Linked DNA regions of Pelodiscus sinensis. The protein of the gene in region 3 purifies or fractionates together with the protein of the main gene of each other region. This does not show direct contact. Links are inferred from orthologs where the notes say so. Each region holds a gene or a part of one and is shown on either strand. Other genes may lie near its edges. The genes, in order: PPP4R1, PPFIA3, PPP2CB and CCT7.

What was found.
Region 1: the proteins of PPP2CB (region 3) and PPP4R1 purify together in Homo sapiens (affinity purification with mass spectrometry; 3 studies listed by BioGRID and IntAct, counting the BioPlex papers as one, with this or other methods). This does not show direct contact. The link is inferred for Pelodiscus sinensis from reciprocal best matches to the Homo sapiens genes PPP2CB and PPP4R1.
Region 2: the proteins of PPP2CB (region 3) and PPFIA3 purify together in Homo sapiens (affinity purification with mass spectrometry; 3 studies listed by BioGRID and IntAct, with this or other methods). This does not show direct contact. The link is inferred for Pelodiscus sinensis from reciprocal best matches to the Homo sapiens genes PPP2CB and PPFIA3.
Region 4: the proteins of PPP2CB (region 3) and CCT7 purify together in Homo sapiens (affinity purification with mass spectrometry; 4 studies listed by BioGRID and IntAct, with this or other methods). This does not show direct contact. The link is inferred for Pelodiscus sinensis from reciprocal best matches to the Homo sapiens genes PPP2CB and CCT7.

The regions. Positions count from the first base shown.
Region 1 is NC_134712.1:85,386,007-85,393,372, reverse strand, and holds the start of PPP4R1 (serine/threonine-protein phosphatase 4 regulatory subunit 1), read left to right. Parts: upstream 1-4,357; 5' UTR 4,358-4,689; coding exon 4,690-4,696; intron 4,697-4,913; coding exon 4,914-4,958; intron 4,959-5,269; exon of another isoform or gene 5,270-5,284; coding exon of another isoform or gene 5,285-5,309; intron 5,310-5,472; exon of another isoform or gene 5,473-5,493; intron 5,494-5,501; exon of another isoform or gene 5,502-5,521; intron 5,522-7,366. UniProt on the Homo sapiens protein: Regulatory subunit of serine/threonine-protein phosphatase 4. May play a role in regulation of cell division in renal glomeruli. The PPP4C-PPP4R1 PP4 complex may play a role in dephosphorylation and regulation of HDAC3.
Region 2 is NW_027465870.1:75,036-82,989, forward strand, and holds the start of PPFIA3 (liprin-alpha-3), read left to right. Parts: upstream 1-4,954; 5' UTR 4,955-5,093; intron 5,094-7,954. Other genes in the region: LIN7B (protein lin-7 homolog B), read left to right, coding at 213-461, 991-1,062, 1,428-1,637, 1,771-1,934, 2,301-2,322. UniProt on the Homo sapiens protein: May regulate the disassembly of focal adhesions. May localize receptor-like tyrosine phosphatases type 2A at specific sites on the plasma membrane, possibly regulating their interaction with the extracellular environment and their association with substrates.
Region 3 is NC_134715.1:4,850,023-4,856,904, forward strand, and holds the start of PPP2CB (serine/threonine-protein phosphatase 2A catalytic subunit beta isoform), read right to left. Parts: upstream 3,009-6,882; 5' UTR 2,879-3,008; coding exon 2,777-2,878; intron 1-2,776.
Region 4 is NC_134715.1:131,026,806-131,034,155, reverse strand, and holds the start of CCT7 (T-complex protein 1 subunit eta), read left to right. Parts: upstream 1-4,339; 5' UTR 4,340-4,471; coding exon 4,472-4,477; intron 4,478-7,057; coding exon 7,058-7,211; intron 7,212-7,350. Other genes in the region: PRADC1 (protease-associated domain-containing protein 1), read right to left, coding at 1,657-1,723. UniProt on the Homo sapiens protein: Component of the chaperonin-containing T-complex (TRiC), a molecular chaperone complex that assists the folding of actin, tubulin and other proteins upon ATP hydrolysis.

The DNA.
Region 1 (7,366 bases), on a different chromosome or scaffold from region 3:
TTCCCTGTATAATATAAAGCAAGGAGTATCACTACACATAGAAAATGGTGGTCCCATCTCACTATGAGCAGTTAGAGACAGAATTTTAATTCTCCTCTCCCTCCCCTCCCAGGGATCAATCCTGCATTGGCATTGCATGGGTAGACTGCTGTGCCCATGTGAAGCCCTGGTTATATTTTTTATCCCTGTAAATTCCCAACACTGAAAACCTCTCTTGTACATTTAACACAGTCTTCAGCAACATTAAAATAAACCTTTCAGCTAAAAATCTCCATGTAGGTTATCAATATAGGGGTATAGGAATTGCCATACCAAAATAGACCGATGATCTATTAAATTTAGCATCCCATTGGGGCTCAAAATAGGTGCAATAGTCCACCTATACTTTAAATAAATAATAATAATAATACACCAGGACCTCCTTGTGCTAGATGCTGTACAACTAAATGATTGTCTCTGCCCCAAAGACATTGCAATATAAGCTAAGAGACAATAGATGGAGACAAACAGATGGGGGAGTACAAGAAACAACGAAACAGTATTTGTCAGAATGATAGAAAGAACTCTCAGCACGCTAGTTGTCTAACTCTTCACATTTTGAAGAAGGATAATAAGGTAGCTTTGTAATCATTTTCGGTGAAGGACACCATGAGAAAAAGCACCAAAATGCTTGTCTGAAAATTTAACAAATGGTTACATTTAACTCGTCAATCAGAGGTTGGAGTCGACATCTCAACAGTGAAAGAGAGATGTCTTGCAAATTTACCGAGTAGTCCTTTCATGTGGAAGCCATTTGGGCCCCAAGTTTTCCCTATGCCTAATGCTTTATAGCTGCCACAATATTGAATAGATTGATTCCATATCCCAGCAAAACATATCTTGATTTGGGAAAACACTGAAGTTGATGTTAATTAAATATTATTTGATTTGTTAATTTTTGTAGTTATGAATAGATCGATAGAGTACTTTACAGTATTCACCTAATCTCTTATTATTGTTCTGGGATTTTATGTATTTAATCCATATTATAATTGCAGGTACCATATATGTATTTTCATCATGTGTGAAATATACTAGAAGTCTTCCATTTGAGTCTTTCCATTCAGAGCCTTTGTTTTAGGGTTTTATAGATTTCCTGAGATTTAGTTTCTCAGAGACCATGAGTAGTGGGTAAATCCCTCAGCCCCACTCCTTTTGCACAAGGCCCACCCCCAGTGTGGCCACTGCTTGCCTAAGTCTAGTACCCCACCTTCAGTTGGGCCACTGACCCCCAGCCGAGGATAATGAGGCCCCAGAGCTCCAGAGGCAGTGCCTAATGGACTCCTACAGAAAGGCCCCCTACCTCCGGTCAAGCCACCAGTCCCAGTGCTTGAAGGACAGGTGGTGTGGTACAGCCCCCAGCATGCCTTCCCTAGCCTCTGCCACCTCAAGAGCAGGCTGGGGAAGGGAGCCTGGGAAAGTACAGTGGAACAAGGGCAATGCCAGGTGAGGCAATTTGGGAAGGCTGCACCTTCCCCTGCCCATGATACTTGCTGCCCAAGTTAGAGACCAGACTCAAATTTAGCTATTTCTAAGAGCTTGCATTTTCTGGTGTTTGCAAGTAAAGACAGATCAATATGACTATATCTACACAGCAGCGTTATTTTGGAATAAGCTATTCCAAAATAACAAAGTCTGTATCTCCACTACAAGCAGTTATTTTGATAGAATGTCGAAATAATGTTGAGCTGGAGGACTTCTTACTCTGACTCCTGTAACCCTTATTGTACAAGGAGTAACAGAAGTCCGAGAAATAGTGCTCTACCTCGGATTTCCTGCTGTGAAGACAGCGCCAAAAGCTGAAATAAGATATTTCAACTTAAGATATGCAACTGAGAGGGGGATCAGGGCTATGGCTGGGGCAGAGGGCTGGGGATCAGGAGTGAAGGCTCCAGGCAGAACTTACCTCAAACAGCTCCTGGAAGCAGTGACATGTCCCTCCTCCAGCTCCTATGTGGAAGGTGCTGCCAAGTGGCTCTGCAGTGTTTGCTGACCTGTCCATAAGTGCCACTCCTACAGCTCCCATTGGCCATGGTTCCTGGCCAATGGGAGCTGCGAGGGCGGTGGTTGGGGCAGAGACAGCATGCAGAGTCCTTTGGCTGCCCTGAGGCATAAGAGCTGGAGATGGGACATGCCAGCTGCTCTCCAGGAGCTGCACGGTGCAGAAGCCAGTAGGGATCCTGCCAACCCTGCTGCACAGTGCCACCAACCATACAGTCAATGGCCTGGTTAGTGGTGCTCTCACTGATTCATGAGATGTTCCTTGACTGCTTACTTTGCATAAGAGCCTTGGTGTGGGATCTTGTCAAAGGTCCCTTGTTTGGACAACTGGTCTAAAAATAATGTGGAGGAGGGCAGGTAGCTTGCAGCTGGGAGGGGAAAGCTCCAGCCCCCCCCCCCCCCTTACTTGGTCAACTGTAGTGTTTAACACTACAGTTAACCGGTTAATCAATTAAATGGGATTTTACATCCTAGTGGACTGAACCATACTTTATACTCAATGGTTACAGACTAATGAAGAATTATTGCTTTTGTTTAACTTTAAAATGTATTTTTTCATGAAAAACTAACAATAGCAATAAATAGCACTCCTATGGAGTGTTTCACAAGATTTTTAAATTGGAGGTTTCTCTTCTGCAATGACAAGATATCTATTTCCTAGTGAAGACATTGGGATGCCTTAACTATGATCCCAAGTGTAAGAGCATTGATGATCTCAAAGTGTACCAAATACTATAGATCATTGATTAAAGAATGAATGAATGATTCGGCAAAACCTCTCTTTGCTGCACTGACACACTTCTGGAAGATGCTTCTTTGTGGAATGACATCACAGAGCCCAATTCTGGCATTTTTGTGTCAGCCTCTAGGGCATCCTTTGGTATTCTAAAAACTAATGGTGCAACCTCTGCTTAGAGCATTCACTTTTGATTTCCTCATTTCAAACAACACTTGGCAGGCACAAGTAGGCTGTGTCTAGACTGGCCAGTTTTTCTGGAAAATACACCGCTTTTCCGGAAAAACTTGCCAGCTGTTTAGACTGGCCGCTTGAATTTCCGCAAAAGCACTGACTTCCTACTGTAAGAAATCAGTGCTTCTTGCGGAAATACTATGCTGCTCCCGTTCAGGCAAAAGTCCCTTTTGCGCAAAACTTTTGCGCAAAAGGGCCAGTGTAGACAGTTCAGATTTGTTTTCCGCAAAAAAGCCCTGATGGCTAAAATGGCGATCGGGGCTTTTTTGCGCAAAAGCGCATCTAGATTGGCACGGACGCTTTTCTGCAAAAATTGCTTTTGCGGAAAAACATCCATGCCAATGTAGATGCTCTGTTCCGAAAATGCTTTTAATAGAAAACTTTTCCGTTAAAAGCATTTCCGGAAAATCATGCCAATCTAGACGCAGCCGTAGTGTAGATGAAGGTGCATTCTGTTTACCCATAGCTCATTTGGGGAATATGGAGCTTAGTTTAGATTATCCTTTTTTTACCATTATGACATTGGCAGACACAGTGAAGGTCCAGAAAAATGTTTAGATTGATAGGGAGGGGGCTTCTGTATAAGCAGAGAGTGCCAAGTAAGACAGGAGTGGTGCCAGTGCCACTGGGCAGTGGTATCAAAGCCAAACAACAGAGAAATAAAACCAGTGCCAAATGTACATGGAAGGTGAAAGAGGCAGTAACAATGCCAAGCAAGTGGAAAAGACGTCAATGCCAAGTATGTGGAGAGGGAGTGACACTGCAGTGCCAATTTAGGGGAAATTCATGTCAGAGCCAAATAATACAGTGCCAAGTGTGCTTTGGTGGGGGTTGAGGGGGGAGTGCAGTGATAAAGCCGGATTCATGCAGGATTCAGGAGAGGGGGCACTGCACCAGGGCCTAATGTCTGGGGCTGGAGCAGAGGACACAGAGCACACGGGGTTGTGGGAAAGAGGTGCAGCTGCAAGCCAAGGGTAAAGGTTGAAGAAAGTAGGTGAAGAGCCAGGCTGCAGCAGGGGGGTTGGGAGAAGGAAATGCCAGGGCCCAGCATGTGGGGCTGAGAGGGCAGTACCAAGGGCCCAGTTTTCAGGGTGTGAGGAAGTGCAGGGTGCATGTGGGGAGGGGAAGGAGGTAAAGTGCCAGGGCCCAGTGCATGGGGTTAGGATGTGCCAAGGCCCAGCAGGCACGGAGGGGGAAAGACAGTGCCAGGGCCCAGTGTGCAGGGTGAGAGAGAAGAAACGTCAGGGTGCAGCGTGCGTGTCTGTGGGGGGAAGTGTGCAGGAGAAAGGGGCACACAGCCAGGCCGAGCATGCAGGGGGAAGAGGGGAGGCACGGGGCGCAGTGCCCGGCCCAGGCGGGGAAGGAGCGCGGAGCCAGGCCAAGCGGGCAGGGACGGGGACCGCGCCCCGGCTGCCCCCTGTAGGGCCGGGCGGGCCCCGGCCGCTGCCCTGGAGGCGGCTCCGCGAAGTGAGTCAGCGCCAGCGAGCGAGGGGCGGGGAGGGCCGCTCTCGTGCGACTCCCCGGCGGAGGCGGGAGCGGCGTGTCCGGCTCAGACCCCTCCCTCGCTCGCCGCCTGCCTGCCAGTCTCTCTCGGGGACACCGGAGACGCCGCCAGCGGGCCCGCACCGCACGGGGCTTCCCCTCAACACTTGGGGGGGGGGGGGGGCGGCGTCGGCAAGATGGCGGGTAGGTACCAACCGCCTTCCCGCGCCCCCCTCCCCCAGCTGTGCATGGGCCGGGGCAGCGCCCCCTGTTCCGCCCGCGCCCTGCTGCGGGCGCGGCCCCCGTGCGTGTGGGGAGGGGGGGGCGGCTGTGGGGCGACGCGCGGGCCCCCGCCCCTGCGCGGGGAAGGGGCCGGGGGCGCGGCGAGGCTGCGGGCGCGGCTCATTGTGTCTCTCCCTAGATCTGTCGCTGCTGCAGGAGGACCTGTCGGAGGAGCTCGACGCGTGTGAGTAGCGCTGCCGCCGCCGCCGCCGGTCCCCCCACTGGGGCTGGGCTGAGGGGTGGCGAGCCCAGGGGCGGTGCCATCACCCTGGCCGCAGCCGGAAGCTCCGGGCGTGTCGGGGCCTTGTCCGAAGCCGGGGTGCAGCAGAGGGGAAGGAGGCGGGTGTCTGCCTCGGTGGGCAGGGGCGGGTGGCATCGCGCCCGCGGGCGGGCCGGCTGGGGTTGGCGGGGCTTTTTTTTTTTGCGGGGTGGTGTCTTCTTGGGCTCGATCCCGTGAGGAAATTGGCGAAAGCCCACGTTGCATTGTGGGAGGAGGCGGAGGCGGCGGCCATGCTCAGCTGCTCCTTCCCCACACGTGTGTGTGTGTGTGTGTGTGTGGGGGGGGGGCTCGGCAAACTTTTCCTGTGCCCACGTCTGCGTGGAGGCGGCGAAAAGGGGGAACGGGGACAAGCGGGAGCTGGGCTGATGACTTGTGGGGAGAGACAGTTGCTGCTGCTGCTGCCTGAGCTTTCTTGGCCTGTTGCGCTTTAAACTCAAAGGCGCGTTATCTTAGGACAATATTTGCAGGCAGGTTGTGTGTTGCACTTGTTTTAAGGCCGCGTGGTTGTTTGTCATGCTATGTCTGCAGCTGCTGGTTGGATATGCCACAAATTGGATGGCTAAATTTTTAAGCTTCTTAGGCTTTTGTGTTCAATGCATAAAGTTTTAGGGTACTTTTATGTGATGGTCGGTAGCTGTGGGAATAGAATTTTTCAGGACTGATGCTGTGTAGAAACTGAAGCTCTTTAAAGGGCCTAGGAGATACACAAAGGGCAGTGTTACTTTCTTGTGGTGGTGACATTGCACCAGAGACATGGAAAATGAGCTGACTTGCATGTATTTCTTTCTTAAATCTTTTTCCTCCATGGTAGTGTTGGTAAAGATAATAGTATCTGAGAGAGAATTAATCTTGTGTTATAGTTCTATAAAAGAAGCCTCAGTGTGCAATTTAGCATTAATAATGGATTGTATGCTCCTTTTTGTTTAAAACAACAATAAATGCAGTGACTTGAAGGCTATGAGAACAGCTGTGACTTTTGCACATGTGAGTTATGGAATGTAAAACGTAACCAACAGTAAAATAGTATGTACATGACTATTAGAAAACTCTCTGGTTAAAGTGTAGAGCTGGGAGTATTAAAACCAAGCTAACTCCAAGGTGGGGATAAAAGAATCCTTCAGATTTAGGCTTTAATCCTGTAACCTTTGTTGGCAAACCCATGGCCCTTTGCAGAGACCCATGGACTTAGAGTCCATACTGTCACAGGAGTCTGCCCACAAGAATCAGCTTTCAGGATTGGGTTCCTAGATGGTTGGAAATAAGCTTTTAAGAAATGGAAATGTTAGTAGAAATTTTTCTGTTTTTTTTTTCATCTTTCATGTAGAATTGCAGTTTTACAATCGCTGTAGAGTATTTGTGTAACAACATTTAAGCATTTTGTTCTGGTTTCTTTTCTTTCATTTTAAACTACTTTTCAAGAGAGAGTCTCTCTTGTAATGCTTAACAATTATTACAAACTATTAAGTTTAAAATACTAGATTTCGGATAGTATAAAAGGAATATCAATCAATGTGGGATATTCTTGTGAATAGTTAATAAATGTTTTAAGCTATTTTCTTTTCCCTTTAAAAAAAATGCAACCTTCTTGATTGCAAAGGACAAAGATTAAATAAGACATTGTAGGTCTCTTAAGAGGTAGCTAGAGAAGAATATTTATATACTTAACTACGCCACACATTTTAAATCTTTTCTCTGATACTTTCAAAGATAGATAAAAAATTATAGATTTGACTTTAAAAAGAAGACTCAAAGATCAGACAAGAGCTGTCTTAGAATTCTGAAGGAAGATTCAGACAATTAATAAAAATATTCAAGATCTTACTGAGCAAGAGGGAGGTTCTGATGTAGAGATCAATGGATCAGTGTTAGAGAATAACCAAGAAACTGGATGAAACTAGGGACATAAGTGACTAGTCAACTGCCCTATAAGGGTATGCTTATTGGGTAGTTGAGTAGTGACTTGCCTAGTGGCTCCCCCAACCCCTTGCTGCCTATATCAGAGAAAGGCAGCCGAGAGGGAGAGCAGGAGCTGGCTTAAAAAATGGTTCTCCCCCTCCCCGGTACCGTCTCTGCAAGGGGGCAGGGGTCGTAGAGGCAGGGTGGGGGACTGGTAGCAGGGGGTGGGGAGGGAAGGGGAGCTGGAAATCAGCTGGCGGCTCTTAGTACATTTAAAAGGCAGAGCTGCAGTGAGGTTAGTTTTTGGGACTGGGAGCTAATCCTGCTGTGGCTCAGCAGTTTCCCCCCTTATTGATTAATTGAGTAGTTGATGTAAATTCCATCAACTATTCGATTAGCTGATTAAATGCAATTTA
Region 2 (7,954 bases), on a different chromosome or scaffold from region 3:
GCAACCCCCCCCCGCCGGGTGTGAGTCCGAGACTCTTCCCCCCCCCCTCGCCGGTGCAACGTGGGGCGGGGCCGGTGCGTGAAGATGGCAGCGCTGAGCAGCGAGCCGCTGGGGCTGGAGCGGGGTAAGGGGCCGCGGGCAGGTGCACGGGGCGGGGGGGGCAGGACCCGTGCGCCGGGGGGGAGGGCGCTAGGGCAGGCGGGGGCTCGGAGATGCCTGGGGCAGGTGCGGGGGGTGCTGGGGCAGCAGTGGCTGGGGGGGCTCAGGGAGACGCGGGGGGGCAGGCAGTTAGTTTTGGGGGGGGTCTCTGCCCCCCTGTGACGCCCCCCCCAAACCGTGCAGACGTGGCGCGTGCGGTGGAGCTGCTGGAGCGGTTGCAGCGAAGCGGGGAGCTGCCCCCCCACAAGCTGCAGACCCTGCAGCGAGTTCTGCAGAGCAAGTTCTGCTTGGCCATCCGCGAGGTGAGACCCCCCCATTGCCCTGTGCAGCCCCCCCATTGCCCTGTGCAGCCCCCCCCAAGTGCCCTGGCAGCCCCCCCATTCCCCTGTGCATCCCACCTGTGCATTGTGCATTCCCTGCACCTGCCTCAGCCCCCCTGCACCCCAACCCCATGCTGCGTCTCCCCCCCCCCCCCCCCCCCGGCACAGTCGCTGCAGCTGCCTGAACCCCTACTCTGTCCCCAGCACCGTGTCCCTGCAGAGGCTCCTGCCCGGCCCCCTCTCCCTTCACCTCCAGGGGGTTCCACCCCCACACGCGACCTGTACCCCGGGAATCCCCTCACCACACCCCATTTTGCACCCCCAGGGGCTTCGTCTCCTGCTTGGCCCCCTAGGGGAACCCCGTCTCCACACTGAGTCCACTGCAGCCCCCGTGCCCTGGCCCAGCCCCCCCCCCCATCTCCCTTCCCCTGGCATTCGATGGTCACTGTCCGGACTTCTGGGATCCCCAGCCCTCGCCCTGACAGCCCCTCCTCCTCGTCTCCACCACCAGGTTTATGAGCAGCTCTATGACACGCTGGAGATCGCGGGCAGCGCCGAGATCCGGGCCCATGCCACGGCCAAGGTACTTCTGCCCCCTGAGATCTGGGCCTAGGTGTGCCCTGGGGACCCTCTGCCCCCGATATCTGGCCCAAGGTATTGTCCTGGACACCCCAAGATGTGGGCCGAGGTAACCCCCTCCCCCCAGGAATCCTGCCTCCTGGGTTTTGGGACCCTGTGAAATCGGAACCTAAGTAACCCCCTGGGAATCCCGACTCCCTCCCCACCGGAGACCCTCTGGCTCCTGGGATCTGGGCCTAGGTCCTGCCCCCCAGGGATCCGAGCTGCCCCTGAGGCCTGGGCCTAACCTTAGGGACTGGGGCAGAGGTGCGGGGCGTAGGGTCCCTCCGCCTGCCCCCCCCCCCCAGCACCCTGGGTCTCTGCCCGCAGGCCACGGTGGCGGCGTTCGCGGCAAGCGAGGGCCACGCCCACCCCCGGGTGGTGGAGCTGCCCAAGACGGACGAGGGGCTCGGGTTCAACATCATGGGCGGCAAGGAACAGAACTCACCCATCTACATCTCCCGCGTCATCCCTGGCGGCGTGGCCGACCGGCACGGAGGCCTCAAGCGGGGCGACCAGCTGCTGTCTGTCAACGGCGTGGTGAGCGGGGGAGCTCGGGGGCGGCTGGACTGAGGGCGCAGGGAAACTGAGGCAGCGAGCGGGGGAGGGCATCCGCGGCGGGAGCGTCCGTCCCCTCTGACCCTGCCACGTGTCCGTCTGTCCGGCGGTGCAGAGCGTGGAGGGGGAGCAGCACGAGAAGGCGGTGGAGCTGCTGAAGGCGGCGCAGGGCACCGTGAAGCTGGTCGTGCGCTACACGCCCAAGGTGCTGGAGGAGATGGAGGCCCGCTTCGAGAAGATGCGCACGGCCCGCCGGCGCCAGCAGCACCATAGCTACTCGTAAGGGCCCCCCGAGCCCCCCCTCACCCCCTGCAGGGGCCAGCAGTACCCACAGCTACTCATAAGAGCCCCCCAAACCCTCCAAATCCCCCTACATCACCAGTGGCACCGCAGCTATTTGTGAGGGAAGCTTCCCCCCAAGCTCCCCAACCGCCCCGATTCCTCCTCACATCCTCCCCAACCCCCCCACTGGCGCCAGCAGCACCACAGCTACTCGTAAGAGCCCCCCCCCACATTCCCCGCCACTGGCGCCAGCACCCTGCTACACCTAAGGGCCTCCCAAATCTCCCGGTACCAGCACCCCAAAATCTCGCTGCTCCCCCCGGTTTCTGCTGCGACTCATGTCTCCCTCTGTTCTCTCCCCAGGTCTCTGGAGTCGCGGGGATAACCCCTGTCAGGTCCCGTGCTGGGGAGGCTGGGCCCCCGCCCGGCCTCCCACATCTCCCCCCAGTTTTTCTGTGGAGCTGGGTCTATTTATCGGGACCACACCGGCCCTGCCGTGAACCGTATTTATTTATTCCCCTATTTAAAACTGCCCCTTGTGCGTGAGCCGGTGGGAATCCGGCACCCGAGACTCTGGTGGTCGGGGGGGGGGGGAGGGCTCTGCTGAAGGCAGGGAAGGGGGGGGAATCCCGGAGAAATGCACTGCCCCCAAACCACCCACTGTACGGGATTCGCCTTCACTTCCTGTCCCAAATTCTTGTGTGTCTTTGCCCCTCGACCCATCCCAGTGCCAAGCGAGGGGTCCCCGTGTGCCCAGCCCAGAGGGGCCGTGTCCCGGTGCTGGGCGAGGGGTCCGCGTCTGCCCTGTCCCTGCACCCCACCCCAGAAGGGCCCTGATCCAGTATGTGTTTATGGTGCAGTTCAGTGAGTGGCCACCAGGTGGCGAACTCGCTGCTTGGGGGGGTGGGGGATCACTGGGGTATGTCCTGTGTAGGGTGTTAGTGCCCCTCTCTCCGGCCAGCAGCTCGGCCCCGGCCCCCCACCCCTGCCGGTGCCCCTAGCTCCTGCCTCCAGCTCTGCTGGTGCCCCTCACTCCTGCCAGAAGCCCCTGCCCCCCCCAAGCTCTGTCCCCCCAGCCCTGCTGGTGCCCCTCACTCCCAACCTGCAGCATCATTTCTGGTCCCTGACATCCCCCATAGCTCCCTTCTCCTGCCCCTTCCAGGGCAGGTGGGGCTGAGCTCCCTGCCTGCTCCCCAGGTGAGCTGGGGGTGGGAAATGGAGCTTGGGAATCAGGGATGCGCCCCTCCCTCAGTGAGTCACCCCCCTCAAGTCTGTTTTTCTGGTTTGGCTGCTGAGTCTGCCAGGGAACTACAAGGGTGAGATTCCCAGGGAGGGAGTCAGAGGGTGCGGCTGGGAGCCAGGACTCCTGGGTTCTCTCTTGGCTCTGGGAGGGGAGTGGAGGCTAGTGGTTAGAGCAGGGGGGGGTGCTGAGAGCCAGGACTCCTGGGTTCTCTCTTGGCTCTGGGAGGGGAGTGGAGGCTAGTGGTTAGAGCAGGGGGGGTGCTGAGAGCCAGGACTCCTGGGTTCTCTCTTGGCTCTGGGAGGGGAGTGGAGGCTAGTGGTTAGAGCAGGGGGGGGTGCTGGGAGCCAGGACTCCTGGGTTCTCTCTTGGCTCTGGGAGGGGAGTGGAGGCTAGTGGTTAGAGCAGGGGGGTGCTGGGAGCCAGGACTCCTGGGTTCTCTCTTGGCTCTGGGAGGGAAGGGGAGCCAACGGGTGCCTCCCGCTCTCAGTCCCTGCTGTCTGTCCCTCTTCCAGTCACAAACGTTCGTGCCCTTTGCTGCGGCTCCCGCCTCTGCTGGAAGAAGGGGGGGCTGCCTGACTGTGAATAAAACGATGCGACTGAGTCTGGGGTGTGCATGTCTGTGTCCTTTGTGCCTCGATCCCGGGGTGGCCGCAGTCCCTGCTCGCGGAGCATGACCCCCAGGGGGCAAAGGGGGACTCGCTGGGGCGAGTGGAGAGGTGATTTCACTTCTGGCTCTGGCTGTGGGGCAGCCGCTCCCGCTGTGTGGGGAAGGGATGTTTGCTCCAGGCTCTGTCCGTCTGCCTGCGGCAGGGCTAACGCCATCCTCGGCCCCAGTGTAGAATCAGGTAGCTAATGAGGTGGCCGTTTTTCCCAGACCAGGAGGTTGTTCCCTAGCTTGCTCCCCGGACCCTGGGGGAGCTGCCTCCGGTGGGCTGACAGCCCTGCCCTGGGCCACACAGGAGCCAACTCAGGGCTGGGGGGGTGAGGGCCACAGCCAGGTGGTCCTAGGCAGGGGGAGGTTTCTGGGGTTCATGGAGTTAGCAAGGAGAGGGCATGGAGCTGGGGGGCCCTCCCTCCCTGGTCCCCCACCGTGGGGCGGAGAGAAACCCAACCCCCCGGGGACCTGACCCTGCGGGGCCAGGCTGGTACCCACACAGCGGTGTTTCCAGGGATGCTGGCTCGGGGGCAGGAAGTGCAATGTGGGGCAAGCCCTCCCCCCCCCCCCCGGGTGGGTTGGACAGGCTGGTGCTACCTGCCTCCACCCTAGAACCATCCCCCAATCTTTGCACCCCCTAGGCAGCCTGCCCCAAGTTTGCTGGGACAATTCCCTGGGGGGGGGAGGTTTCCCAGAGCAGGGGACTGGAGCAATTCGGGGGGGGGATAATTCCCGGGGGGATGCATTTCCTGGAGGGGGGGCTGGGATAATTCCCGGGGGGATGCATTTCCTGGAGGGGGGGGCTGGGATAATTCCCGGGGGGGATGCATTTCCCCAGGGGGCGGGGTTGGGGCAATTCCCCGGCGTGTGATTTGCCCCTATGCCCCCCTCCCGCCCGCCGCACACCGGATGACATCATCCTAAAAGTGAGCCCCGCCTCCCGGACTCCCTCATTGGCTCCCCCGCCCGGCAGCCCCTCAGCCATTGGCCGCCGGACCCCGGCGCTCGGAGCCGCCCCCTCCCACCCCCGCGCCTGGGAGGGACTTTGCGGCCGCCCCGGGCTCTGGCGGCCGCCCATTGGCGAGGCGGCCCGTCCTTCAGGGTTCCCTTAAAGGGGCCGGCGCCGGAGAGGCGGGGCGGGGGGCGGCGCGGAGGGGCCGGGAGCCGCGTCCGGCCGGGCTCCGGCAGCGCGGGGCGGGGGAGGGGCGCGACCCCCGGGCGTCCGCCGGCTCCGCAGCATCGGCACCGGCCGCCGCAGGTACGTCCCTGCCCTCCCCCCCTCCATCCCTGCCCTGCATCTCCACCTCCTCCCCCAATGCACCCTCCCAGTCCTGCACCCCTCCCCCTCCATCCCCTGCCTGCATCTGCACCCCTCCCCAATGCACCCTCAGCCCTGCACCCCCCCCTCCATCCCCTGCCTGCATCTGCACCCCTCCCCAATGCACCCCCCAGCCCTGCACCCATCCCCAATGCACCCTCAGCCCTGCACCCCCCTCCATCCCCTGCCTGCATCTGCACCCCTCCCCAATGCACCCTCAGCCCTGCACCCCCCCATCCCCTGCCTGCATCTGCACCCCTCCCCAATGCACCCCCCAGCCCTGCACCCCTCCTCCTCCATCCCCTGCCTGCATCTGCACCCCTCCCCAATGCACCCTCAGCCCTGCACCCCCCCTCCATCCCCTGCCTGCATCTGCACCCCTCCCCCGCATGAACCCCCCCAAGCCCAGCCATCTCCCTCCACCGCCCCACTTCATCTCCTCCCATCCCCCCAGTCGGGCACCCCCCACGGTGCAAGTCAAGCCTCTCCCCCCTGTATACACCCCTCGATCTGCACCCCCGGCCCTTCTCCCCTCTCCCAGCCACGCACCCCCCCCTTGAACCACCCTGGCCATGCATCTCCACCGCTCCCCTCATCTCCCATGCCTGCCCCCCCCAGCCTGCAGATGCACCCCATCCCGCTGCGTCCTCCGGAGCTCAGCCCTGCGCCCCCCATGGCCTGTCCCCTCCCCCAGCGCACATCGGCCCCCATCCCCCGACGTGCACCTGCTTCCCCCCCCCCCCCATGCACCCCTCGGCTGCTGCCGGTAGGAGCCGGGACAGCTCCCTGCCCCCCTCCCCCACTGGCCTCCGCAGCATCAGACTCGCGGCGCTGCAGGTAGGAGCCGGGCCGTCCCCCGCCCCCGCCCCCAGCCCCTGCCCGGCCCCTGCCCTCCCCCCTTGCCCGGCCCCCCCCCACTTTCCCCAGCCCCGCTCCCTAGCGCCCTGCCCCCCAACGCAGCCATCCTCCTGTGTGCACCCCCCTCCCGCTGCCTTCTCTGACCCCCTCCAGCCTCTGTCTGCCCCCCATACTGCCCCCGGGGGCCCTGTGTCTCCCTCCATGGATGGGGGGCTGGCTCTCTGGGGGACCCTCTGTCCCATTGCAGGAGAAATCTACAGGGAGGGGGCAAGGCAGCTGGACCTTGTGGGGGGGGGGGGGGACGATCCCAGCTGATTCTGCGGGGGGGGGGATGCTTCAAGGGGGCTGGACAGCTCCTCCACCCTTCCCCCAACTGCATTGTGTTCCTTGGGGGTGGGGTGGGGAGAGGCCCCCCCCCACTTGGATTCTTCACTCCTCTGGGTCAGAGCTGCCCCCCTCCACGGATCCACCCTCAGGGAGGGCCTCAGCTCCGCAGGAGTATGTGGGGGGGGTGACCCCAAAGTTTGTGGGGGCACAAACCTCCTGATCCCTTCCCAGCGGATGCCAAACAGGGCTGCAAGGTCCAGCCTGGGGGGGGGGGGCATGGAGACACGCATGTAACGCTGCCCATGCAGCCCCCTTCGGCCCTGCCATGCACGGATGTCGCCGGTGCCCCCTTGCCCTGGCTGCCCCATGTGAGCCAGGCAGGCGTGGGACAGGCATGTAACCGTACACGCGTGTGCCGGGGCACCCTCCACTGGGGCTGGGAGTGTGGCTGAACCCCTGGGGGCATCCGGCTCTGTGTCCCCAGGTGGGGGCCATGGGGGAAGGGAGAGTAGGGGGTCAGCGTGTTGGGGCGTGTGTTGGCGTGTGTCTGTGCACAGGTACCATCTGAGTGTGTCTGGGCATGGGGGTGAGGGGCACCAGTCTCGTCGCTGTCTATAAATAACCCAGACGAGGGAGGTGTCTGCAGGCACAGGCCCTGCGAAGAGGAGGGGGCTGTGTGTGTGTGTGTGTGTGTGTGTGTGTGTGTGTGTGTGTGTGTGTTGGGGTATTGCTCTTTGCCTGGGTGTTGCAGGGTCTTTGCACCTTGTACTTGTTGCATTGTGGGTAGGTGTTGCGTTGTCGGCAGCATTGTGTTGTGTGTAGCACTGGGCGTGTTGCATTATGGGTGGGTGTTGCAACGGGTATTGCTAGTGCAGTGTGCTGTAAACTGTAGCGTGTGTGTGTTGTGTTATTGTATTGCAGGTGTGGGTTGTTGCATCATGGCTGTGTGTAGCATTGTGTTGGTAGTGTATGTTGCTGTGCATATGTGTGTGGTGTTGTCTCACTGTTGCATTATGGGTAGATGGCATGCTGTGGCATACATTTTGTGTATTGCATTGTATTAGTAGCACGTATTGCTGTGTGTGTTGCATTCTCACACTAGTGCTTTATGTGCAGGTGTTGCATTGTCTGTAGCATGTTGCATTATGTGTATGTTGTGGCACGTGTGTCGCACGGTTGCACTGGGATGGTGTGTTGTGTGTGTCGCAGAGTTGCACTGAGGCGCTGTGGTGTGTTGTGTTTGTTGTGTGTGTTGCGGGGTTGCACTGTGGGTGGCTGTTACATTGTCCCTGTAGAATGTGGTGTTTATGTTGTAACGTGTGTTGCCCGGTTGCACTGGGGCGCTGTGGTGCGTTGTGTGTGTGGCGGGGTTGTACTGGGATGGTGTGTTGTATGTGTGGCGGGGTTGCACTGGGGCGCTGTGTTGTGTTGTGTGTGTGGCGGGGTTGCACTGGGATGGTGTGTTGTGTTGTGTGTGTGGCGGGGTTGTACTGGGGCGCTGTGTTGTGTTGTGTGTGTTGCGGGGTTGTACTGGGGCACTGTGTTGCGTTGTGTGTGTTGCGGGGTTGCACTGGGATGGTGTGTTGTGTGTGTGGCGGGGTTGCACTGGGGCGCTG
Region 3 (6,882 bases):
TTCTGTGCCAATGACAGTTCTATATTTAATATGTTAGCTGTTCTCCTTAGCAAGTCTTAGATGAATGCTCTGAAGTAATCGCACAGGGACACTGGATTGTAGTATCTGGTTCGTCTGGTAAGGCGAGGAGCAAGTAGACCAGTTGCAGTTCTGGATTATCAATGCAGTCATCGTGGGGAACCTCAACATTTTCCTCCATCTTCTGCATTTCAAGACCTCTAGCCTGTTTTGACTTGACTGGAAAACAAACCTATGAGGGGAGTTGTCTCTGGAAGGCTGGGAAGGGAGAATCCACATTCTCCAGTACAATCAATATATTTCAGAAACATACAGCTAAGGAAGTGTGGAGACCCAGGAAGAGGAGTTGGGGTGGAAAGGAGATTGTGTGTTTCTGAGTTACTCATTTATTTTTAGAGCTTTTATTTTATTTTAGTGGGGGATCCCCAATGTGGATCCAATCCCCATCACCACAGACACAATACTGAATTTGTCTAGAGAAGGTTGAGAGGGTATGGGTTCGCCACACAACTTTGGCTCTGAGAAAGCAGGAGAAGGAAGAGAAGTATATTGGATCAAAAAGAGTGCCAGGTTATCTGGCTAATACTGACACAATGCTACAGCATCAAGGGACTCCAACCTGGATGTCACTAGATTAGAACATGCTCTTCTGCTACCAACATCAATGCTGATTCCTATGCTAATATCGACGCTACAGACACCAGCTCAAGGTTCTAACACGTCTCAGAGACTGCAGCCAAAGCTGTCCAATCTGAAGAGAACCAATACACTGAACAACAACTGGGGAAGTGGATTTCCCCCCAGACAGAACACACATCAGATTTGTCTGGCACTACACCATCACGTTAGCAGGGTTTGAAGCCTGAGGCTTTTGATATCTCTTGAGTGAAAGGTACCTTGGCACTGATTGGTTAGTAATGACCTAAAAAGGAAAAAAAAGAATGCCACAGCTGGGCAGATATGCTAAAATATTAACTTATCTAAACTTACTAAGAAACTGGGTTAAGAACTAGAGGAAAATTTTAATTTGCTTTCTGAAATCAAGGAGCGCAAGGGGCAGAACAGATACCACTGAGTTTCCACTTACTGCCTTGGGTAAGGGGATCTCACAGAACTGGGTTATTGGGCAATAAAATAGCAGATGAAATTCAGTATTGATAAATGCAAAGTAATGCACATAAGAAAACAACCACAATAATATATATAAGATGAAAGGGTGTAAATGAGCTGTTACCAGCCATGGTTGGTTTCCAATTCCTGCTGAGGGTCTGATGTGCTTTAATCGGCTACAAGTAATTTAATAGTCTATATAATTTTAAATTTGACTGTGGCTAAACTAAGAAACAACATAATTTAAATTATTTAAAGACAAGGCTCACTGTAATTTAGCTGCCAAAACTTTACATACTGGGTGGAAAAGACTGAAATAGATCAACACCATTAACTGGAGATACAGAAATAGCATGAAGTGCTTCTAAACGCTAAGTATCTTTTTATAAATTATGTACTTATAACAAAATACTTATAACAAATTCTTCCTTTAGCCTTACATCACATTTTTCTTTGCAGGGATGTCTTTATGTATGAAAAATACAGTGCAGTATCTCCAAATTTACAGCATTATGTGTACAGAATGGATTTTCAGAAAATTTCTAAGTTTAAATTCAAATTAAGTAAAACTGAGTCCTTTTAAGACATTTACCACTGGTCAATCTTTGAGTAATCAAAATAATGCAGTAAGAGACTGCAAATGCTCTGTATAAAAAAGTAAAGTGTTCACAGGCTAAAAGAATACAAAAACAGCCATACTGGGTCAGACTAAACCTCCATCTAGCCCAGTATTCTGTCTTCTAACAGTGGCTAATGCCACAGAGGGAATGAACGGAATAGGCAATTATCAAGTGATCAATCCTGTTGCCTATGCCGATCTTCTGTCAAATGAGTTTGGGACACCATCTCTGCCCAGCTTGGCTAACAGCCACTGATGGCCCTATCCTGCATGAATCTGTTCTATTTTAGAAGCAGTTGAATTTAATTAAGCTAATTGTTAACAATGTTACCTATTTGCTATGATTATGTAGGCTATTTATCCAGGCAACATGCCAGATCAATCTTAAACAGGGCTACAGTGATGCAAGAGGTAACTCAACCAACCAAACCACAACCCATCCTTTAGCTAGTTGACATGCAATACTACTACTGGCTATCACAACTCAATAACAGAAGGGAGATTGGACATCTGATTGGAATGGGGTAAATTATTGAGCCCAACTAGCTTTCCTTTTCCGTGGGCCGCCTGCTTGCCCAGATGTCGGTGCCTAACGGGTTTCGTGTAACACTGCTGCCTTGGCCCTCCTATGCAATGAAACACAAACACAGGGACGCTGGGATTCAGAGACTGGGCTCTCCCCCTGCTTCTATTTTTCCCCCAAGCCCTGTGAGAAACCATTTTTGTGCTGTGCGGATGTGCACCACCACGAGAAACACACTGCTGGCTGTGGGGGCTCCGCTGGTCAGCTGGGGCAGGCAGCTCTTGCCTCTCTGGGGCAGGGGAGCGCCCAAGCGCTCAGCGTACAGGGAAGGCAAGTCAGGGCCTCCCCTGCCCTTCACTCTGCCCGGCGGCGAAAGGAGCCAGCACGGATCTATCTCCTCTGCAGCAGCCCCGCGCGCTGCTGGGCCCGCTGTCCTGCGGGGCGGCGCGGGCACGGGGCCCCTGGCGCGGGCGGGTGAGGCCCCGCTAGGCCCGGCGCGGACTCACCTTCTCGCAGAGGCTGCGCACCTGGCTCTCGCTCAGCTGCTTGCACTCGTTGAGCTGCTCGATCCACTGGTCCAGCTCCTTGGAGAAGCCCTTCTCCTCCATGGCGCGAGGGGGCCGCCAACGGCCACGGGCCAACGGGGGCTGCTGGGTGCGCGCGGCCCGCTCCGCTCCCGGCCCGGCCCTGCCCCGCGCCGCGGAATGGCGATGGCGGCCCCGCCCGCTCGCCCCGCCACTTCCGGCCGCGGCCGCCGCCCCGCGGGAGCGCTTCCGCCTCCTCCCCCCCCCCCGCACCCGCTCTCAGCCTCCGCGCGCCACGGTCAGACCCCCCCCGCTCACCCCTCCCCCCGTCACACAGACCCCTCCCCACCCCCCGCCACAGAGACCCACCCTGCTCCCAGCCTCCGCGCGCCACGGTCAGACCCCCCCCGCTCACCCCTCCCCCCGTCACACAGACCCCTCCCCACCCCCCGCCACAGAGACCCACCCTGCTCCCAGCCTCCGCGCGCCACGGTCAGACCCCCCCCCGCTCACCCCTCCCCCCGTCACACAGACCCCTCCCCACACCCTGCCACAGAGACCCACCCTGCTCCCAGCCTCCGCGCGCCACGGTCAGACCCCCCCCCCGCTCACCCCCCTCCCCCTCACACAGACCCCTCCCCACACCCTGCCACCCCCCGCCACAGAGACCCACCCCGCTCCCCCCCCGCACCCACTGCCACCCCCCGCCACAGAGACCCACCCCGCTCCCCCCCCGCACCCACTGCCACCCCCCCGCACCCACTGCCACCCCCCCGCCACAGAGACCCACCCCGCTCCCCCCCGCACCCACTGCCACCCCCCCGCCACACAGACCCACCCCGCTCCCCCCCACACCCACTGCCACCCCCCCCGCCACACAGACCCACCCCGCTCCCCCCCCACACCCACTGCCACCCCCCCACACCCACTGCCACCCTCCCGCCACACAGACCCACCCCGCTCCCCCCCACACCCACTACCACCCCCCGCTCCAGAGACCCACCCCGCTCCCCCCCACACCCACTACCACCCCCCCGCTACAGACAGACCCCCCGCCACACAGACCCCCCCGCTCCTCCCCACACCCACTGCCACCCCCCCGCCCTGCTCACCCCCTGCCAACAGACCCCCCCTCTCTCCCCCACACCCACTGCCAGCCCCCGTCCCACTCACCCACAACCAGCCTGCCCAGACCCCCCCGCCACACAGACCCCCCCCCGCTCCTCACACCCACTGCCACCCCCCGCCCTGCTCATCCCCTCGCTACACACAGACCCACTCCCCTGCCCTGCTCACCCCCCCTTGCCACACAGACCCCCCCCACACCCACTGCCACCCCCCCGCCAACAGACCCTCCCCTCTCCCCTCCACACCCACTGCCAGCCCCCCTGTCCCACTCACCCACGACCAGCCTGCCCAGAGCCCCCCCGCCCTGCTCACCCTCCCGCCACAGAGACCCACCCTGCTCACCCCCCACACCCATTGCCAGCCCCCCTGCCCCACTCCCCACAACCAGCCTGCCCAAAACTCCCAGCCCTGCTCTTCCCCCCTGCCACAGAGGCTCTCCCCCCCACATTGTTTGGATGTAGTAAAATACTTGGCTGCTTTTCTGGAAAAAGCGGCCAGTCTAGATTCAGCCCTAGAGCCACACCCAGATCCCCTATTGCCCCATGCCCAGACACTCCCCACAGCACCGCTCGGACCCTCCTTGCACCTCACAGAGCCACTCCCTGTCCCCACCGCTCAGACCCTTCAGCCCCGCTCAGCCCCCCAGCGTCTCTCAGGCCCCTCACACCTCGCAGAGGCAAGTCCAGACTCCCCAGTATTGCTCAGACTAAGGATGTAAAATCCCATTTAATCAGTTAACCGATTAAATATTGGCTATGTCTACAACTGGCATGATTTTCTGGAAATGCTTTTAACGGAAAAGTTTTCCGTTAAAAGCATTTTTGGAAAAGCGCGTCTAGATTGGCAGGACGCTTTTCCGCAAAAGCACTTTTTGCAGAAAAGCGTCCGTGGCCAATCTAGACGGCTGTGTCTACATTGGCACCCCTTTCCGGAAAAGGGATGCTAATGTAGACTTCGGAATTGCAAATTCCGCGGGGGATTTAAATACTTGAAAGTAGGAATAAGAGATCCTCCGGAAAAGGGCTTATTTTCCGGAGAATCAGGTCTAGACTGGCGCTTTTCTCCGGCTTATCCCCAAGTCGGAAAAAAGCGGCAGCCATGTAAATGCAAATACTGCGGGGGATATTTAAATCCCCAGCGGGATATTTAAATCCCCCGCGGAATTTGCAATTCTGAAGTCTACATTACCATCCCTTTTCTGGAAAGGGGTGCCAATGTAGACACAGCCCACGTGCTTTTCCGCAAAAAAGCCCTGATCACCATTTTCATGATCGGGGCTTTTTTGCGGAAAACAGTACTGCGCTGTTTACACTGGCCCTCTTGCGCAAAAGATTTGCGCAAGAGGGCTTTTGCCCGAACGGGAGCTGCACAGTATTTCCGCAAGAACACTGACGATCTTACATGAGATTGTCAGTGTTCTTGCGGAAATTCAAGTGGCCAGTGTAGATAGCTGGCAAGTTTTTCCGCAAAAGCAGATGATGCTTACTGCTTAACCGCTGACATCCCTAGCTCAGACCCTACATTCCGAGCCCCCCTCACACTTCTCAGAGCCATGTCCAACCTCCCTCCTGCACTGCCCTAGAGAAACTCCCAGACCTCCTATTCAGAACCACTTAGAGCCCCATTCACCCCTTCCAGAGTACCAGGGATCACCCTATTTCCCTACAGGGAAAATGGGATACCCCACAGGGCAGCTTGAGGCTCCCCACAACTGCTCTACACACGTTATCCCCCCCTCCCCTGTCTTCCATGTGTGGGTCTGGCACAGCCTGAGCCTCCCTCCAGCTCAGGGCTGGCATTGCCATTTGCCTTCCCTCCCTGTGCACCCCGCTAGCAGTTGCACTCCACTTTTTTTTGTCAAAACTGGGCATTTGCTAATAGGTGACACAGGGTTACCCTACCCACACCAACTCAGTGCCACTTGTAATGCCTCCTGCCCAGCAACATCACTTCCAGACACACGCATCCCATGGCACCACACAGAGCCTCTTGCACCATCCCAGTCATTTCCAGACACTCCAACTTCAGTGTCACACTGAGTCCTACTCACGCCCCCTATAGCCACTCCCAGACACCCCAGTCCCACCCCAGAATCACTCCAAGTCCTGTGACTGGCTGTAATTCCATTTCCACACACACCTCAGCACTGCCCCGAGCTACTTCCAGGTCCCCACCTGGCTATCATACACACAGAACTAGAGGTGGGGAGTGCTGCAGCATCCCCAAGTTTTACATGGGGCCCTGGCTGCTGGCCGTACACCTGAAGCTCCATGGCCCTACTCATAGGCTCAGAATTCTCCTCCTGGGATGCTGGCCACTGATCTTGTGCCTGGGGTGCTGTAACATTTGCTTTTTGAAAAATCTACTTGGAGGGTGGAGGGTCGAAAAAGGAAACTTTTGTTTCTGTTCTCACACAGCCTCTAGCATGCAAAATCTTTCCCAGCTGAATGTTATGAGTGTTTCAGCTATTCGTTCATGAATTCCATTATAGGGCAACACCAGCAAATTCCCAGTCGAGTCCCCAGAAATGTGCATCTTAGTCTTTCCTGTTGTGCAATGCAAGTTCATAGAAAGTACATCATTTCAACAATAGAAAGTCATCATGCACAAATGTGGTTATCCCAAATGGGACTCCCAAACACTTTAATACAAACACAATCATTTCCATAAATCAAGTTTATTAGCTACAGAAAAAATTTAAGTGTTTGCAAATAATGAGGCACAAAAGTCAGAATTGGTAACAAAGAAAATAAAAGGCAAAATGCAAATTTAATACCTAACAGGAAGCTAAATCAATTGAAAGTAAAGGCTTTTCTCACGTTTTTTTTTTGCAGTCTTTAGTGGATGAAAGCCTTCGAGCCAGAACCACTCCCCCCAGTCCAGTGTTTCTTCAGGAGTTACTACTATTGTGAGCAGAGAAGAATGAAGGTGAGATGATTTGGGGCCACTATTCCTCATTT
Region 4 (7,350 bases), about 130 Mb from region 3:
ATGGCCCAGTTTTAGGCACCTGGGGAGTAATTTACCGAGGTGCTTGAGGCCCCAGACCAAGTCAGTGGAGCTGCTGGTGCCTGGACTCTGGAGGTGTGTCAGGCTGGGTTCCCAAAATCTCTAGTCACTTTCCAAACACATTGCCCCTTACCCAATCCTTGCCTCAGTTTCCCCTCCAGTAGCACACGGGGCTGCCACTTGACCATGGCACAAGGGAGTCAGGAGGCACAGTTAATGCGGGTGAAGCACAGCAGACACTCTAGCAGGCCAATTCACTCTCTAAATTACTACAGGCACCACTTGACGCCTGTCAGTGGGGGGCGGGGTGTCTAGTGGGCAAAGCAGGGCAGTCGGGGGATGTGGGTTCTATTCCTGGGGCCACCACTGACTGGCTGAGCGTCCTTGGGCAAGTCACTTTCATCGCTCCATGCCTCAGTTTCCCAATCTGTACAGTCTGGGGCCTGTTTACTTACCTGCCTCTCATGGGCTCCCTGACACTGAAGTCCGGGATCCTTAGCGAGGCAGTTAATAATTACTACACTAAGCAGAGGAAGCGGGAAGGGAGAGTAGTAGGATAAATGACAAGGAAGGGCCTAATCCGGAGAGGTGCTGAGAACCCACAGGAGATGCTGGTGTCCAGCGCTGCTCCAGATGGAGCCCAAACCCTCTGCCCTGCTGAGAGCATTTTGACGTCTCGTAGCAGCACTTCCGCTAACCTCAGTGAACCGAGCAACCCCCCAGCCACAGCCAGAACATTAATTTGGGCAAGCAGCTAGGACCCATCACGAGACTCCTCCAGAGTGTGACATAAAACCAGGCTGCCTGCTTGGCCAGCCCTTTGGAACGCGCCTCCGAACTGAACACAGGTCATTTACCAAACCCAGCGGAGCAATCTCCCCTCTGGGATTTTCTCCTTTGCTTTCTCCATCTTTTAACCTGCCTCAGCTCCTCTTATTTACCTGCTGGCTGCCCCTGAATCCAGCTTTCCCTCCATCTTCCTTTCCTAATCGCTGTGCGAGTTTCAGGGCTGATTTACCGTGTTCTAATGGGCAACCACAGCGATCAAAATTGTCTCTCAAGCCGAGTGGCAATGCAAGATTCTCCCTTGCTGGGCCCCCTCCATGGAGGGATCTTATGCCAGGGCAAGAGGATGTTGCATTATATTTTGCTTTGGCTCGCTCACAGCTTTCAGAGCGCCGGCACAAGGCATTTATTAAGACTGGATCCTGTGCAGCGAGATTTTCCTGCTACATGGCCCCAGCCGGACTGCCACCCCTTCACGACTGAAAATGGGAACTTACAGACACACTAAAAACCAGACAGGTCTGGCAGGGCTTCCCGGCAGCCAACAGAGCAGAGCATGATGAGAATACAAAGAATAAACAGCAAGCACAAATTCCCCCCCAGCCGAGAAGCGCTCAAGGTTTTTTAACCCCTCCCCTGCATTTCAGGGCAGCAGTTTCTGAGCACAAGGGCCAGCGGCTGCCGCAGCAGGGCACTTGACTTTGGAAGAGGCAGCTGGATGTGCATTGTAAAGGCTTGCTTGTCAGTCCTGTGTTGCAAGCGTGCGCCAAGCAGAATGGAAAAGGCGCCCACACAATGCAGGCACCGGGGTACTCTCTAGCCTCTCCTTCTCCCCGGGTGGCCCGTACTCACCATCAGCAAAAGGGCAGGCGCAGAGACAGAGCACAAAATGCAGCCAGCTGCCAGCGCTGAAGAGCATGTCTGTGCACCAGCCTCTCCGTGGCTCCCCAAGGCACCTCTAGCCACAGAAGTCTCAAAGTGGCCACAAAGCAAAGCCCCGCCTCTGGCTTCCACTCACTGGTCAGCTCCAGCGGCTGCCAATCCCATTGGTGAAGGTTTCAATCAATCCAGTGCCGGCTGGTTACAAGAGGCTTGAAACACCGAGGGGTTCCTAGTAGAGAGGAAGAAAAAAATAAATAAAATAAAATAAATCCGAGCCGGTTCAGCCCTTCAGCAGATTTTTCAGAAGTAAAATCACTGGAAGCAAATCCGTCCTTTTCCACCCACTCGTACTCCACGGAAAGGGCAGGGACACACGACTGGGGGGCAGGAGGTGGGGTTTTATTCTGGGCTCTGCTATAGATGTGTGACCTTGGCCAAGTCATTGCACAGTGTGCCTCAGTTTCCCCCTCTATACATCTGCCCAAGAGGGGACCCTGAGCTTCACCCATTAATGTTTACTGATGGGGAGGAGGGGTTTTGCTTCAAAGGGGTAGCCTTGCTCCCAACATTCAAAAAGCTGCGCAGGCATCTGCAGGACTAGGGCCTACCTGTAGATGCAGTGAGTGAAAGCAACAAACAAGGAGGAGGGAAGGGAGGGCAAAGGTTACAGGAATAAGCGCCTGGATGCTGGTTTTGGTTTTTACAATGGTTGCTTTTAATGTGGGGGTTGCTATGGCTTCTTTTGCTGTTGCTCAAGCCTGCTCTACTCCCCCTCAGCCCTGCCTACCACTGGCATTTCTGCACAGTATCTCACTAGCTTCACAGCTACAGCAGCCGCCCCAGCCCCTCCTCACGGCCTCAATCCCCCTCCCCCAATTAGTTTTGCTGTATGGACATTTTGTTGCGCATCTTTAAACCCTGCCAATCTCATCCTAGACAGCACCGGTGCTGCTATACGGGTGTGAGCCCCTCCTGATTACACGCTACACTGATATACTGCGGGCATGCCACTGACATGGCTTGATGCTGTGCAAGTGTCTCTAATGCAAGGGGGACGAGGCACTTCGTCCCGGACTTTCCCCCCCATCAGACCCTCTGCCCCGTTTCCCTGCCTCCCACTGTGCTCCAAGTGCCTGGGGATAGCGTTGCCAGATGGGTCCAACAAAAATACCGGACGCACTTGACATTCCATCCCAATCGACATTCCATCCGATTTAGAAAATACCGGACGGTTCTATTTTCTCCATTGGTTTCCAGAACAGAAAGCTCCAAAACTGGACTGTCGGGTGCAAAACTGGACACCTGGCAATACTAGCTGGTGAACCCAACTATCTGCTCCTCATCCAACCTCCCCTTCATGAGCCCCCATCAGTACCCAGCTGCCTGCCAGACTGTGAGCCCCACCTGCCCTCCCCCACCTGGCAGCGAGCCCCCACCTGCACGCCCTACCTGCCAGATAGTGAGCCCCCACCTGCGCTCCCCCACCTGCCAGATAGTGAGCCCCCACCTGCGCTCCCCCACCTGCCAGATAGTGAGCCCCCACCTGCCAGACTGTGAGCCCCCACCTGCGCTCCCCCACCTGCCAGAGAGTGAGCCCCCACCTGCGCTCCCCCACCTGCCAGAGAGTGAGCCCCCACCTGCGCTCCCCCACCTGCCAGATAGTGAGCCCCCACCTACCCTCCCCCACCTGCCAGAGAGTGAGCCCCCACCTACACGCCCCACCTGCCAGACTGTGAGCCCCCACCTGCCTTCCCCCACCTGGCAGTGAGCCCCCACCTGCGCTCCCCCACCTGGCAGTGAGCCCCCACCTGCGCTCCCCCACCTGCCAGATAGTGAGCCCCACCTGCACTCCCCCCACCTGCCAGATAGTGAGCCCCACCTGAGCTCCCCCACCTGCCAGATAGTGAGCCCCCACCTGCGCTCCCCCACCTGCCAGAGAGTGAGCCCCACCTGAGCTCCCCCACCTGCCAGATAGTGAGCCCCCACCTGCGCTCCCCCACCTGCCAGAGAGTGAGCCCCACCTGAGCTCCCCCACCTGCCAGATAGTGAGCCCCACCTGAGCTCCCCCACCTGCCAGATAGTGAGCCCCCACCTGCGCTCCCCCACCTGCCAGAGAGTGAGCCCCCACCTACCCTCCCCCACCTGCCAGAAAGTGAGCCCCCACCTGCACACCCCCACCTGCCAGATAGTGAGCCCCCACCTGCGCTCCCCCACCTGCCAGATAGTGAGCCCCCACCTGCACACCCCCCACCTGGCAGTGAACCCCCACCTGCGCTCCCCCACCTGGCAGATAGTGAGCCCCACCTGCGCTCCCCCACCTGCCAGATAGTGAGCCCCCACCTGCGCTCCCCCACCTGCCAGATAGTGAGCCCCCACCTGCACACCCCCACCTGGCAGTGAGCCCCACCTGAGCTCCCCCACCTGCCAGATAGTGAGCCCCCACCTGCACTCCCCCCACCTGCCAGAGAGTGAGTCCCACCTGAGCTCCCCCACCTGCCAGACAGTGAGCCCTATACTGTCTGCTTGCCAAATAATGAGCCAAGTCAGTACTCCTCTTGCCAGATATTGAGCTGACCCCACCCCTCCGCACCTCTATGGTCAGAGGCGGGAAGGAAGGGACGCCGGCGGGCTCCCAACCATCGAGTGGGCGCGGGGAGAAGCCGCTCGCTTCCGTTTCCCGTTGGAACTCCGCCCCCGCCCCTCGCGAAGTTTCTGCGCGGACGCAGTGCATTGTGGGAGCGGCCACCCCCTGTGCTGGAGGCGCTCCACCGGACCTTCCGCCAAGATGATGGTGAGTGGGGCCGGCGCGGCCCGCGCCATCCGCCGCCATCCGCCCCGGGGACGGGCCCTCCCGGCCCGACAGCGGCTCCCCGCCCCCAGCGGGCTCTAGCCGGCCGGCATCAGCCGTTATTTTTGGGGGGGGCGGGCTGGAGCCGGAGCCGCGGCCCCCAGCGCAGCCCGGCGGCAGGAAGGGCGCGGGGCGCTGCGGCCTGCCCCGAGGGCAGCCCATTGAGCGGGGTGGGAGGCCTGGGGAGCTCGGGCCGGCCTGGCTAGCGGTGGGACATCAGTGGCCTCGCAGGGACTACCAGCCCCATCAAGTAACGCGCGAAAACTTGCCCCTGAGTTGGGGTTCCAGGTGGCGCATTGCATGCTGGGGGTTGTAGTCCCTGTAGGACAGAGCAGCGGGGGGAGTGAAGGAAGCCTCTTCTGCTGACTATAGTAACCGTTAACCTGCCCTTAGGGCTCCCCAAACCATTGCGTGCTGGGATCGGACGCCCTGCCTCTCCCCGAAACAGCCGCAGGGGCCCAGCATTGCCCACGGAGGCTGCTGTGGTCAGGACGTAGCATTGCATGTTGGGGGCCACCGTCCCTGTGGTCTCCACGGTTCTGTTTGGGTGATGCTAATGGCTCGTTTTGATTCTGGCACCTGCTGTCCCCAAATTGTTCAGAGGAAAGGGGCAGCGTTGCCTGATGCAGTGTTGCCAGACTTGTCATCTCGGTGGTGGGCACGTCCCCGGGCTAAGCTAAAGGCAGGCCTCAGAATGTGCAGGGATGCTTACAAAAGGATGCTTATGTTGCAGAGAACGTGGTTTTCTTCAAAGGCAGGATAATTTGGATTTTCTATATAAACTTCCATTTAGGCTTGTTCTGACAGAGGTAAAAGAGCCTTGTTTCTGTTTCACAACATGTCCTTGAAGTCTGAGGGCCTGTATTTAACTTTCATGCCCCACCCTTGGCCCTCTTGCCCAATGAGTCTCCAAAGGCAATGTCGGAATTGTTTGAATCCTAGCGATCTTGCCGTAAAACTGTTTATTGCCAATGGGTCAACCTCCCACTTCACTGTCAGTGTAAAAAGATCATGCTTGCATTCGGTGAAGTGCTAAGTGTTGGCCTAGCTTCCCCTTCAAGCAATGCCATCTTGCTCTGATTTTTTCAAAGACAGTGAGAGGTGAAAATGGGTTTCTGCACAAATAAAGGTTCACTGGCATGGGATCATCCTAGAACATTGTGAGGAGGCATTGGCTGGCTGTTACCATGGCCTTTTAGAATCCCTAAGTCATTCTCTTACAAGCATAAGAATGACCATGCAGGATCACACCAGTGGTCCATCTAGTCCAGTATCTTTTCCCTGGCAGTGTCCAGTGCAGATGCCTCAGGGAGAATGAATGAAACAGGGCAATTTTGAGTAATCCCAACCCATGTCCATTCCAAGTTTTCTGGTGGGTTGGAGGCTTGGGGACACCTCGAGCAGCGGCTCTCAACTAGGAGTACGCGTATTCTTGGGGTAGGGATATTAATGCACCCCTGTGCGTTTTTGTTATTTCCTAATTTTCATGTTTACCACAGACCTTGTTATCTGCATTTTGGGTACCACCCTCAGTGGGTACAGCTGTGCTGCTGGCAGCAGCATTGTAAGGGTAGACAGGTCTCGGTTGTTCATACCGTAGTGTCATGTAAAGCTGTTAAGAGATTTTTCATGACACAGTGGTAGAAATGCCTTTGATCTGTCCACTCTGTCAACTTAGCATTTGGCAGCAGCATTTTTAATAGCTGTTGGAGTAGTATGGATACTATATATCTAGTACAGAGACAGTCCAGTGTGGAAGTTGGAAGGTAGAGGTTGGACTTCCCTTGTCCGGCACCCTAATTTGCCAGACCAGGGGAGGTCCCCTACCACTGGCTCCCCAGCCTGCTGCTCCTCAGTGTTCCTAGTTCTGCTACCAGGCCCCCTGCCTCCAGCCCCCCCATCTGCTACTATGCTGCCCTGCACTGCCAGGGGCTTTGGCCTTGCATTGCCTCAGGCTGCCAAGGAATCCCAGCCTGGCGCTATCCTGGGCTGCAGCGGGCTACCAGGCTGGCCTCTTCCCAGCGCTGCTGCGGGCTGCCCCCAATTAAGGCTCAGCTCAGTAATGTAAAAGTTAAAATAATGAAAACAAACACAGGTTTTTGAGTGTATAACTGCGAGCGTTAGAAACTCAAGATACTCAAGGTGAAGATTAAAATGAAAAGAAAATCTTCAAAGAGCTGGATCTTTTGATGCCTAAGACCTTATTTCACAAAGTCTAGTTGTGAGAATAAAGTTTGTAGGCTCCGGCCCCTGCAGCGTAAGATCTTCTGGGTTGAAGTTTTTTGTAAGTCATTAGGCTTTAATAGACTTTGGCTTCAGCGTCAGATATGGAATAGCAAACAGTGACACTCTAATAAGGTGAACTGATTTCCTTCATTGTTCCCCTCAGGAAAAATGACATTGAATAATACTAATAAGCTGAGCTAAGGAGGTTAAAATATTGGTACACAGTTATTTTTAGGGTGACTATTTGGCTTATTAAAGTCTGAGGGAAGCATTAGCTAGCATCTCTTGTCTTTTCAGCCCACACCAGTTATCTTGTTGAAGGAAGGCACGGATTCCTCCCAAGGGATCCCTCAGCTTGTAAGTAACATCAATGCCTGCCAGATTATCGCAGAAGCTGTTCGCACCACCCTGGGCCCTCGGGGCATGGACAAACTTATTGTTGATGACAGAGGTAAGTATAAGATAACATGACTTCCCAGAGCTGCCTTTTAGCGCTTCAGTGTTACCAAGCACAAGGCAGTGGCTTTTGGCTGACTTATCAACCTCCCTGCATAATGCATAGTATAGGTGTGGGATACAAGGTTCCACGA